2 linked regions of the Caenorhabditis elegans genome follow. The protein of the gene in region 2 purifies or fractionates together with the protein of the main gene of each other region. This does not show direct contact. Each region holds a gene or a part of one and is shown on either strand. Other genes may lie near its edges.

Region 1 (4,219 bases), on a different chromosome or scaffold from region 2:
TTTCTCAAGAGCATTAATTGAACAATTGACCTGAGAAAATTGAAAAATACGGTTTAAATAATTTGTTAGATTATATTTTCAACAAATTAATAAATATTTTGGTTAAAAAAAAACTTGTTCAGTATCGTGAATTGTGGTTGCTGGAGAGCAAACTAAGCAATATTCTATACTCTTTTTTAACATCGTTTGAAAAATTGGTGAAAAATGAAATTTGCATTTTCAAACTTGACGTCCTACTTACAGCACAAAAAACGCTTAGGTAACTATCATATCTTGGCAAAATAATTACGATTTTAAAATGTTGCCGACGGAAAAATGTATTTTGAATTTTTAGTGATTTGTTAGTTGACTTTTTTTGAATCCTCTTACCGAAATGGAATAGATCCTCAAGAGGATAAAACCTCATATACATAAACTCGAAAAATAATCGGCCTATAACGTAATTGGCTCTGACTTTCAATTCACATAAAAATGTATCTAAACCTAATTCAGCAATGCTATTTTGTCTCCAAAATTGCATGTCTTTGTGTGACGCAATAGCAAAAAAAGCTTAGCTCATTTTTGTGCATTAAATGTGCTACAAAATCAAAAAAAAATCATTTATTCAATAAATTTAATCAGTTTTATTTATCAGTGTTTTTTCAGTGTCAATATGTTTTATATGGTATATCACTATAAAAATATACTTTCAGAATGGATCTTCGAACATTTGCTCTTGAGCTTTTGGTTCATTTGAAACTGCCGTATTTTCAATCTCGCTTTGTTTTTCCTGAAAATGCCAATATCAAATTAACAAATGTATGATATCAACTAATAACATACCGCCACCCTCTTCTTCTTCCTTTCCGAAATCTCGATATGTTGATGTGGAGCCAAGGCTTTTGTTGTTTGTGCACTCTTCTGTTTTGCTCTTTCCAATTCAAATGAGTCAGTCATTTGACTAATTACTGTGTTTAAGAACTTCTTCCAGACGTCTGTGATTTGAGATGTGGTGTAGTTTTGAGCAAATCGCACTTTTTTGTTCTCTTTTCCTTCTGATGATGGAAGCTCCTAAAATCATATTTGTTGGGTGAAAAGGTTTTTTGTTTTACGAGGGGAGATTATGAACTTTTTTAGAAAAAAAAACCAATTTAATTTAAACAATCTTATTTCGAATAGGTATCTACAAGAATTTATAGGAAGAGGATCACAAAGAACTAAAAAATCCGATCTGAAGTAACATTTAAAAATACTTATTTGAAAATATTATTCTAATTTTTTGAAAAAACCCGCAACTATTTTGCCCAACTGGATCAAAAATTGCACCTTTTTTAAAAAGAAAAACAAACATTTTTTTGAAAACAGCTCAAGTAATTTCCTCGCTCACAAACATCCTAATCTACGTTCGGGAAAATTTTCAAAATGCTTCTCGACCGCAAAATTTCTTTTTCGAATTATATAGATTTTTTCAGAAATCAAGCTCAATTAATTCCTTTATTAGAAAATAATTTGATTGAGTTGTACTCCAAATAAACCTTCCAACAAATCAATTAGTTGAACTTTCAAACTAGCTTGACCTAACTGATCCCACAATCTCACCTGTTCACCCGTCAGAAATGGAATTAATCGCTCGATAAATACATTTATAACAATTTCGAAATAGTTCTTCTCCATCTGGTTCTGATTTTGTTCCAAGAAACTGAAAAATCATCAAATGGCATTGGACTATATAATCATACAAAGTGACGGCATTTGCACCTGCGCACTTACCCTTGTCTGACATGACTTCTTCCCGTTTTTCGTACCAATTGCCATGCACCCGTCAGATTTTCAGACGTGCCAAGCATTGACGTGAGCTGGAATAATAAATTTGAGTTCAAAAAATACTCTTAAAAATGTAGTTTAGACAGCTAACCTGCTCCATGAACTCATAGAATCTTAGAATATGCCCTCCGAATTTCGGCATTTTCAGCATCGCGGCTCGCGGAGCCCGATCCACGCCAAACACTTTCTTGAGGTCCGGTTCAATATCATTGACAATATCTAAGAATATAAGACCAACAATATCCTTCGGATCATCTAGCCTTTGCCAAGTTTCACGTAACAGAGTACGGTCTTTTTTATTGAGGGCTAAGTCAAATGGATTTTCAGATTCGTTTCCGACCCAAGATGCTCCGACTTGCTGGAAAATAATTTTTTAAAATGTTCTGTGCGTCTTTAAAGAGTACTGTAGTTCTCTATTCTTATGTACTGTTTTTTTGAAAAGAATGTAAAAAATCCAAAAATTTTTGAGAAATGTTCATCTTCCGAATCAAGCTCAAAACTCACGGTTTTTTTCTTTTTCGGTGCACATAATGTGGCACCCATTGAAAATATATAGATTTATAACGATACTTGTTTTATTAAAAATCTTAAGCACAACTTCTCATCACCTCAATCAGGAAATGTTCTGAAAATTTGAAATTGAAAGACTCTGAAAAAGGAGAAGGAGTGAGTAAACATGAAGAAGACAAATTGAATAAGCCTCAATTATGACGTGGCAATGGAATGATGATTGGATTTTTTGTGTGTTGAAGTAGTCATAAAACGGAAGACGGCTGATTTTTTATGGGATGACGGGGAACAGAGCAACATAAATTCGCGTTCACAAGGCTGAAAACTAATTTGAATTTTGGCTTAAATTGTGGAAATGGCCAGTTAGATCTTGGAAATCAAATAAATCCTAACTGAAAATTTAGCCATATTCATTGTGGAAAAAATTAGATTTTTTAGGGTTAATAATTTTGTTTTGAAAAGATCTCAAACTTTTCCTATGACCCAAAGCATAATAAAAAACTGTAGATTTTGAGAAATCTTTTAAATCTAATTTGCCTTGTTTAAAATGCTTCCAAGCAGTATAATTTTTGTGGGGACCTATTAAAATGAGCTTTTTTGAAAATCCTAATTTTCGATGAAACATTTAAAAAAATCGAAACTTTTCCTTGTCAGCTTAACACTTAAATTTGTCAAAATCTGAGACTAGACTTGAGTTTTCTCGGGGATCTTTTCCGAAAGAAAAGACGCATATCAAAAATCAGTGTTCTTCTTCCCAAAAACTTATAGAAAGTATGAATATAACCAAATGATTGCTTTAAAAAAGTGAGAAGAAGGCAGAAGAGGGAAAAATACGAAGAAGTGGGATAAACAAAGTGACAAAAAACTGCGAAATTATAGTAGAGAGTTCTGACAAGAAATAATAAGGGAAGAGAAGGAAGTAGGTGAACTATTGGTTTTTCGAATGTTAATGTTATAAATGTATTTATACGTAGGCTGTTTTATTACTTGTTAGAAGCTTGAACTCAAGATCCGGCGGGAAAAGTGTAACAGGTGCACGTAAAAGTTCAGTGGATCAAAGATTTCTGGAACGGGACAAAATTTGTGGAGTTTGAATTCAAGTTATTTTGGAACATAGTTTGCTGGTGGGGCAGATTTATAAACGGCAGTAGCAATTCATGGTCTACCGGCTTCCTAGTTTCTGGTTATTTTCTCAAATTTTTGATTTTTGCCCATTTAATTTTTTTAAACATTTTCACTTCAAATTTTGTTAAACCACGGTATTTTAAGTCCACAATTGAATTTTTAAAGAATTTATCAGAAATGTTGGTTAATCTCCAAAATCGTTCTCCGCTCTCAAAAACCAAAGTGGACGTTTGCCTCCAAAAAAATGGAGAAAAAATGAAATTGCGATTTTTGGGTTGAAATTTATATTTTTTAAAAGCTGAGAACATGTTATACACGAATACTATGTCCATTTTGACACCCAGAATATCTGAAAATATCTAAAAATTGAAGCATGAATATTTTCAGAAATTTCCAGTTAATTTGTAAAAATCGGAAATATTAAAACTGCAGATTTCATGAACAAAAATAGTCTGAAATTTGTATAGAAAACAATTCAATCTTTCAAATTCAAGCACCCGCATTGCAGAAAATAATCAATTCTCATGCTCAACTAGATAGTTTTGCTATAGTTTTTGATCAGAAATTTGATTGTTTTCACTTTGCTTGCCGCTCTCCAAATTCCAAAAGTTCTGACTTCCAAGAAAAATTGAAAAAGAAAAAAAAAGAGAAATATTTAATTTTCCAGGAATTTTTTTTGTTGATTTTTTGAAAACGAGAATTGAAACAAGTATGGAAGAAAAATAGGCATAATCTTACTTGAAACTCAAAAATTTTCCTCTAGGTTACACCTAATTAAAAC
Region 2 (7,848 bases):
GAATATCTGGCTCTAAAGTTCCATTTTTCTTTCTTCTCCGATACTCTTCCACATCAAGTTTCCCAAAGAATTGTTCCGCATTCCCGTCAGCCGATGCTAGCTGTCCAGTTGAAAACATGATGAACATGAGGAGAAAGTGATAAATACTCATTGATCTTCCTTCAAATAATTCCAATGCTTCTCCCCATCGCATCAGCACAAACATCACCGAATCCAATCCAGGTATCATGTAAATGTATCTTTGCAGAATGAAAACTGCTTTTTTCGATTCCTTGCCGGTGATTAAATTGTCTAAATTCCTGCGGAATTTCTCGAAATCATCGACGTGATCATTTATGTATCGTGCTCTGTGATGCTCTAGATAAGTGTACATGGGATTTGCTCCGCCAATGTTCATTTCTACATTTTCCAAAACTTTAGTTTCTTTGATCTTGGCTATGACATCATATGCAATCCAGGCGAATGAAAGCTTCCGAGGTTCACGAGTGGATTTGGCGCACTCTATAAAAATACAGTTATTGTTTGAGTAAGTGTATGTCCCGCCAAAGCCAAAGCCTAAGCCTAAGCGTGAGCCTAAACCTATCACTGTGCCTAAACCTAATCCTGAGCCTAAACCCAATCCCATAACTTACCATAACAAGCCCGATACCAAGCCACGGCTTTCTTTCTAATCTCCTCATTCGGATTCTCACAACGGAAATTAAAGAAGTTGCTCTCATTGTAAGCATCCGGCAAGAGTGTACAAACTTCTTGGAATCCGCCAAATTGCTGGAAAAAAACAGTAAAGGTGTATACTTAGACCGATTTTTTTACCTGGAAGAAAATAGTTCTAAATTTGGACACTAAAGCTGTCATTTTCGTCTCAATCATTCGATTAGTGTTGTAGAATGACATATCGTCTTGATCCGAGTCCGAAATTCGATTTCTCATTTCAATAATGCATCCTGACATGATTTCACCTTCAGACTGGATACCGTATGTATCCATTGTGGACTGAAAATTATTATAGTTAGTCTATCCCGTCTTACTGTAGTAACCCTACAAGATGCTAGGAAATCACCAATGTAGGATTATTGTAGTAAACAATTTTCTACAGTAGTCCTGTAACAGTACCTCTGCCAGCTCGAAATCTGAAGAAAGGTACTGTAGGACTACAGTAGAGCTCTAGAAAAAACCAGATAGCTTGAAGAGACCCTACTGAATCATTTGTTTCCTAGAACTGGTGTTCACTGAAACTACAGTAATCCACAGCTGCTATATGGAGCAGCTAAGTATCCTAAGCTGCCGAAGTCGAGCCTTTTCGTTCCAAGACCCACTAACCTTCAACTGCCCATTGTAACTGGCCAGCTGCTTCTTTGCGTCTTCCATATACTCCTCAAAACCATCGACACGAATACTCTCGTCAACTTCAATCTTATACTGCTCCGACTTTTCTTCAGAGATCTTCATGGCATTATCAATTCCTTGAAACTCTCGGAACAGTTTTCCACATAGTCTTGGACTGACATACTTTGGCATATGATCGCTTCCCACGTGATAGTCAGGTACTCTCTCGGCTCGTTCCGGTGGGATCATCTCACCGGTGGCGTCATCTAAAAGTTTAGAGATAAGTTTGACGAAAAACAGCTTGTTTTTTATACCACCACTTACCAGTCTTCCATGTTGTTTGCAGCTCATCTGGGGGTTTTCCAGACTTTGAGAAATCAACGGCCTGACAGCTTTTCTTAGCCAAATTCATGCATACTCTTGAAGTCAATCCATACTGATCAGAGTTGTGGAGATGGCTGTTCGCGATCAACCCTACCAAATCTTTTTTGAGATACTCGACATAGACATCTCGCATCAAGTCGTCCTGAATTAAATTTTGAAGTTAGTCATGCTCATCAAATAAATCAAAAATTACAATGTCTTCCCACTCGTATGTCTGTAAGTTTTTCTCCACCGCAAAGTCAAACGCCTCCTCATTCCTCTCGAGTAGCAATTTCTGATCCCAAATGACAGAATACTCATCTCCATCCAAATCCGATCCTGCCATTTCATCTGGATGAGGCCTTGGACCGTGCTGTGGGAATACAACTACATCACACAAGTGATGAAGTTCTGGAATGTCGACGGCTTCAAAGATCCTAACATCCCCGGGAACTATGCCCGGGTTTTTAGTGAGCAGCACGGTTCCAGTAACAATCTCACTACCGAGAACTTTCCGATTGGAATCTCGAGGTGGGAGTATGTTCCTGTGATTTTTCGTGTATTGAACAAAGACCTGTCCGTATTGTAGAATCCCAGTCTCGTCGACAACGCCAAGCATCGATCGACCAAGCTCGCTGGGTATTTGGATTTGCTCTTTGAACAGTTGTTTGGCTGAAAACATAATTAACATGATGCATGAAACTTCTGTTTCAAAAACTTGAAAAACTCACTGATAGCAAACTTGATTGACGCCTTGACAAGGGATCTGAAGAATGGTTCATTGGACAATGTGAATCCCCAAATTGTTCTCAAGTAATCAATATCGATTCTACGGGGAAACTCCTGAAATAGATTATCTACTTGGAAGGTACTTGGAAGGCTAACGTAGGCAGGCAACATACCTTCAGCTTGTTCCTAAAACATGCCTCATCCGTCATCTGCTTGGCAAATGAAAGTGTCTGCAAATCCATCAATTCCTCGATCCTACTCGTTATTCTCCGATGACATTCTAATGACTGCATTTCGGAAACTTGATCGAGAATGTTTATTAATGGTTTGTTGAGAGCAACCAGCACCGGCGACGAGTACTTTACCATTTCCACTTGGTCTCCGAGAATTTGCTTGCCCTCGAATTTTATTTGACTTGGACGGAACACACACTTGATATTCTTGGACAATGAGATTCCATGCTTCTCCTGCCAATTACGTTCTTTGTCTAAAAGCGGGTCAATGGCAAGAACACCCTTCATTCCACGATATCGAAACTAGAATCATTAAATTATTGTAGGCGTGCATGCCAAAACCACTTACCTGAAAACAGCTTGGAACGGATCTTCCGAATGACATCAATCGAGATACTTCTTGAGCAAACTCGTAGCTCATCATTCCGACTCCGTCAGAAAATGTGTACTCGCTTCCATTTGATGATCTTCCGCCCGATAGATCGTGTGTCAAACAATAGTTGTCTGGTCCTAGGCTGACACCAGTAAGCTGAAAGTGATAGGCCCTTTAACTATTAAAGCTTCCAACACTTACCCTGCTCTGAGTAAAGCATTGACCTAATCTTGCCATCAACTTCGGAATATTTTCGATTTGCAAAAAATTACCCAATTGATTTCGAACTGAATCAATGTTCGGTTTGAACTTTGAATTCATTTTGCATGCGTTTTTATGTCGATTATCTGTATTTTTAACCATAAAGTATGCACCATTATCTCTCATTTGTGAGCTCGAGCATCCTAAGAACCCAAAATCCCGATTTGCCACTACAATTCCGTGCTCCAAGTATTTCTTGACACAAATGTCAAGTAGTTCGCCAGTTGCATTCGCTCGCATTTTTCTATTATTATCGTCTCTAAAAGTAACTCTGAGCACATGAGTTCCATCTCTATCGAAGTTTCTTAGTACTCGGTTCCCCATAATCATCTCGGGTGGAGTATAAATCACTCTTGTCGGTGTGAAGATCACTTTTCGGACTCGTTGATATCCTTCTTCGATCTCTTGTTCTGACATACCATTCGTCAGCTGCATTACTAGACGTTTTTGGCAAATTTTATGAAAGCACTGAAAAATGGTTTGTGGGTCTCCGAATGGGTAAAAGAGACCTAAGCTAAACACCCCACCTTCCAAATTGATCCAATCCGCTTTCTGCCATCAATTAAATAAATCAGATCTTCAAGTGCAGCTTCACAAAGCTTATCATTTTCCAGGTAGTAGTGAGTAATTAGACCCAAGAACTGCCCCCAGCATATTTCATCTGTAAGTACTTGATCTTTGACGATAGCTCCCCGTGACAATAGGCATTCAATTAGGTATGTGATTGCAAATTGTCTTCCGTCATTCTCATTAATTGATTGGGCGTCTATTATTTTCATCTTTGAAGGGAAACACTGAAAGCATTGCTACTTTGCCATTTGTTAAGATTAGATTCATTTGTTAGCCGATTCACTCACGTTATATATGAAGCATTCGAATGCATATGATTTCGAGCTGGTCGGATATCTTAAATATGGATAGACCTTGCCTATCGGAACATCGACTTTTGGAAAATTTGCAAATTCGATTTGGACTCCAGTTCGAGAGCGTAGACGAGAAAGTACACGATATAGCGTATCATTCGAGTCTCCCTAAAAGTTAAACTTCAGTAAGATCAAATTTTAGCAAACCCTTAATGCTAACATGTAGTCCAAGCTTCTGCTGATTTTTGGTTAAAAGTTACCTAGACCCCATTGGTCAAGTTTTACATAAATACCCTTTAATTAAACTTTCAACAAAATAAAATTTTCTAACTTTCAAAAGACATTTGTCAATCTGCAAAGCTAGTGTTTCGTCCAATTTTGTAACATGGATTTTTTGACATTCAAAAAATGACATTCAACTTACCGAATTCCCATCCGATTCCTGTTTTTGCAGTTCAATTGTGAAGAATGGACTATCAGAGATGGCTGACTCATGTGGGGAACCGTACTCCTTCGTCCCAATGCAACTGTATCGATTTGTACGTTTATAGAAAGGCTTTTGAGTCGATGGCTAAAAATAGAATCATTAATTGTGTAGCAGTAAAAGTTGTACCTTATCATCATCTACAGATCCTTGTCTAATGAGTGGTGGGCAATTGAGTTCGAAATGTATACGTGTCTTGTTCATGTCAACTTGAGGATCGACGATAATTCGACGAATCGTGTCCTTTCGGATCTAAAATAGGTGACAAGATTAATGCAGGGGTACTGTAGGGTTACTGTAGAGGATTACTCACAATAGTTTGATAGTTGATTCTCTTCCTCTTCAAACATTGAAACGTCACAGTTATCATATCAGCCCTATCGAATTCAAATTCGGCAACTATCTTGTTCAGAAGCTCATTCGCATCTGCCGATATTTTTTTGCCAGAAAATGAAATTTGCCAATGACTGATATACGTGTATCCTTGAATATTTCCAAAATACATTGCTGCCAATGGGACCTCTATATAGCAATCTAGTGTTTTTGCCCAAAAATCCGAACCATGAAGAACGATGTAAGGCCGTGGCCAATTTGCATTCTGAAAACTTGAGTTTTTGGAGGTTTTCTTTGCAAAAAAAATTAGAATTTAATCACTTACCAAACTGAATAAATAGGCCCTCATCGCATCTATTATAGTTTGATCAAATTTAGCACTGGCAACGTCATAGTTCACTTCAAAGAAGGAATCACAGTCTTGTTCCTCAACAATTTCCATCTCATGACGACTCTTGATATCGATTTTGTGATGTTGAAGAATCTAAAATGAGAAAAATTTGTTTTGTCTCTCAACTAAAAATCTCTCCTGTTTTTGAAGGCTTCTAAACTTACAAGCCCATAGGCGGAAAATCCCAAATTTAAATTTTCCAAACATTTTCATGTGAAATTCAAATTTTTAAGGAAAAACTGCCGGAAAATTGGACATTTTATGCGCTCTGTGGTGTACATCAAACTTTGATAAAAAATGTTGGCGCAAAATTAAAATTCGATGTCTTCAGGAAAAAAAATTCAAGAAATTAAAATGTTAATTTTCAACGAAAGTTTTTCGGTTATTTCAAATATTAAATGCTTTAGAAAAAAAATTTTAAGGTTAAAATTCAGTTGAAAAAAATCATTAGAAATTTTTCAACTTAACATTTTTGAAACGGAGTTGAAAACTAGTTCAGGAGAGTTTAGGAAATTTTTAATAGAATCGAAAAAAAAATCTTTAAAAGTCATGAATACTTCTAAAAAATATATGAAATTTAAAAAATTGGAATATGTTATTCAAACCTCTCAAACTTCAGTAGTAACTATTTAAGCCCGTGACTTACCGCAGGAACACTATTTAACATCATTTCGATACCATATTCGATCCTATCTATGGAATCGTCAAATTCCGGAAACTCAAGCCTGATAGACCCATTTTGCCCCGACATAACGAAAGGCCTGCAAAACGAGAAGTAATTTCACCGTTCAATTTTGTAGCCAAAATGTAAAAAAAAAAACAACACTTTTGACTCACTTTATTCAATTAGTGTAACGCGAACACGTGGTCGCTGGCTGTCCTTTTGCATAATTTTGAAGCAAAAGCGCCTCATTGAGAATTCACGTTGGCGCCAACTCTCGCTATCCATTGGGCGTGAGAGACGCAGATACTACTTTTTTCTCTGGACGTGAAAAACGCAAAGAATAGCCGTTTTGCCGTCTGCGTCTCTTTTTTCACACGCTATTTTGGCTGTGGACAAGGAATTCTCCTCTTCCAGGATTTTCTAGGCCATTTTCTCACATTTCTCAAGTTTTCTCGTCCGCGAGAAAACGTGAATTTTAAGACAGCCAGCGAGCACGTGCGCGAACATAAAATGAAAGAAAAACAACTGCTTGACAATTCGAAACAACCTCTGTTCTGAACAGCGGAGACGCAGACAGCTAAGAGACGCTAAGGATACGTTGTTATTACGAAATATCCGAATAAGAGTGAGCAAGGCGAGAATGTTCGCGAAGAAAAAAATTTAGGTATAAAAAATAATTGTGTTTTTACCGATAAAATTGATAAAAGAGGAAAAAATACGGACAAGAAGAATAATCCTCTTACAAATTTTTTGTTTGAAAATAAACTAAAATTTATCTAGTAACAAAATTTTTTCTGTAACGATATGAGTTAAAAATATATAATGTTATTCTTATAACTATTTGGGAACAATCTGAGATGTTTCCAATAAGAAAAACAACTATTTTAAAAAATATGAAATATTTAGACCAAAATTATTATATTACCAATCAAAAGATTTTTCATAAATTATTTATTTTTCTGAAACTTTGGCAAACTGTCAAAAATGTCTCAATTGACTAGTAAAACTTGTTGAAATACAATTACAACGTGGTCTCGGTGCTTTCTGAAATACTAAAAATCAACTGGCTACATATTATCTGAAAAATGCAAAAATTGAGAAAATACTTGCGACCGTATTTCTTTTTCAAAAAATGCAGATAAAAACTTCCTCCTTTTTTTTAGAAATCAACATTTATTTTGGCATACTCTTAACAATTACTTTTCTGAATTCCGCAACCGATTCCTCATCCCTCTCGATTATCCACCTGGATCTTTCACCATTTCGCGAGAGAACGAAGCAATCTCCATCAGAAATTGCTGTTTCCTTGACCAATTGCAGGAATACACGAAGATGTCGTTCTCCAGCGGCAACTGACCAGATCTTGGGTGGGAACGGGCGGTCTCCCATTCGCTGAGCATGTTTCGCTGCTGCCGTTGAAGGAATCGAATCGCGTTCCAGTTTTTCAACCTAAAATTGAACGTTTGCAAAAATTAAAAAAAAAGGAACCTACTTTGTACAACGAGAATCCGGGAATATGTTTTGAAATCGACTGATACTCCTTCCCCGTTCTTGATCCAATAACCAGTGTTGGAACATTCGAGAAGAAGGCTTGCCAGTACATCCAGCAACTTCTGAATTTCCACTTGTAATTGTCTAGTCCATTTACAAAGACTTTCAGCTCCACGTGCTCGCGACTTTCTGAAGATTCTTAATCAATTTATTTCTAAAAAAAAAGAATCTAAAAAACCTTACCCTCATCATAAATGGCATCCATCTCCCCGGAATACAAAACACTGTAAGGGTGCTCATTGCCACGTGGAATTGTTGCTTTGAAAACTGCCTTTCT

Evidence for each region.
Region 1: the proteins of rrf-2 (region 2) and glb-12 fractionate together in Caenorhabditis elegans (co-fractionation; one large-scale study listed by BioGRID). This does not show direct contact.

What each region holds. Positions count from the first base shown.
Region 1 is NC_003280.10:10,729,217-10,733,435, forward strand, and holds glb-12 (GLOBIN domain-containing protein), read right to left. Parts: upstream 2,437-4,219; 5' UTR 2,347-2,436; coding exon 2,308-2,346; intron 2,162-2,307; coding exon 1,895-2,161; intron 1,836-1,894; coding exon 1,750-1,835; intron 1,679-1,749; coding exon 1,579-1,678; intron 1,051-1,578; coding exon 823-1,050; intron 770-822; coding exon 689-769; 3' UTR 588-688; downstream 1-587. Other genes in the region: mks-5 (Protein fantom), read left to right, coding at 1-34.
Region 2 is NC_003279.8:12,099,871-12,107,718, forward strand, and holds the start of rrf-2 (RNA-directed RNA polymerase), read right to left. Parts: upstream 6,243-7,848; 5' UTR 6,194-6,242; intron 6,118-6,193; 5' UTR 6,108-6,117; coding exon 6,003-6,107; intron 5,450-6,002; coding exon 5,291-5,449; intron 5,231-5,290; coding exon 4,946-5,230; intron 4,885-4,945; coding exon 4,762-4,884; intron 4,720-4,761; coding exon 4,573-4,719; intron 4,317-4,572; coding exon 4,143-4,316; intron 4,080-4,142; coding exon 3,813-4,079; intron 3,754-3,812; coding exon 3,226-3,753; intron 3,181-3,225; coding exon 3,001-3,180; intron 2,955-3,000; coding exon 2,592-2,954; intron 2,533-2,591; coding exon 2,421-2,532; intron 2,362-2,420; coding exon 1,904-2,361; intron 1,853-1,903; coding exon 1,651-1,852; intron 1,593-1,650; coding exon 1,321-1,592; intron 994-1,320; coding exon 814-993; intron 769-813; coding exon 633-768; intron 502-632; coding exon 1-501. Other genes in the region: M01G12.14 (Decapping nuclease), read right to left, coding at 7,194-7,469, 7,513-7,700, 7,755-7,848.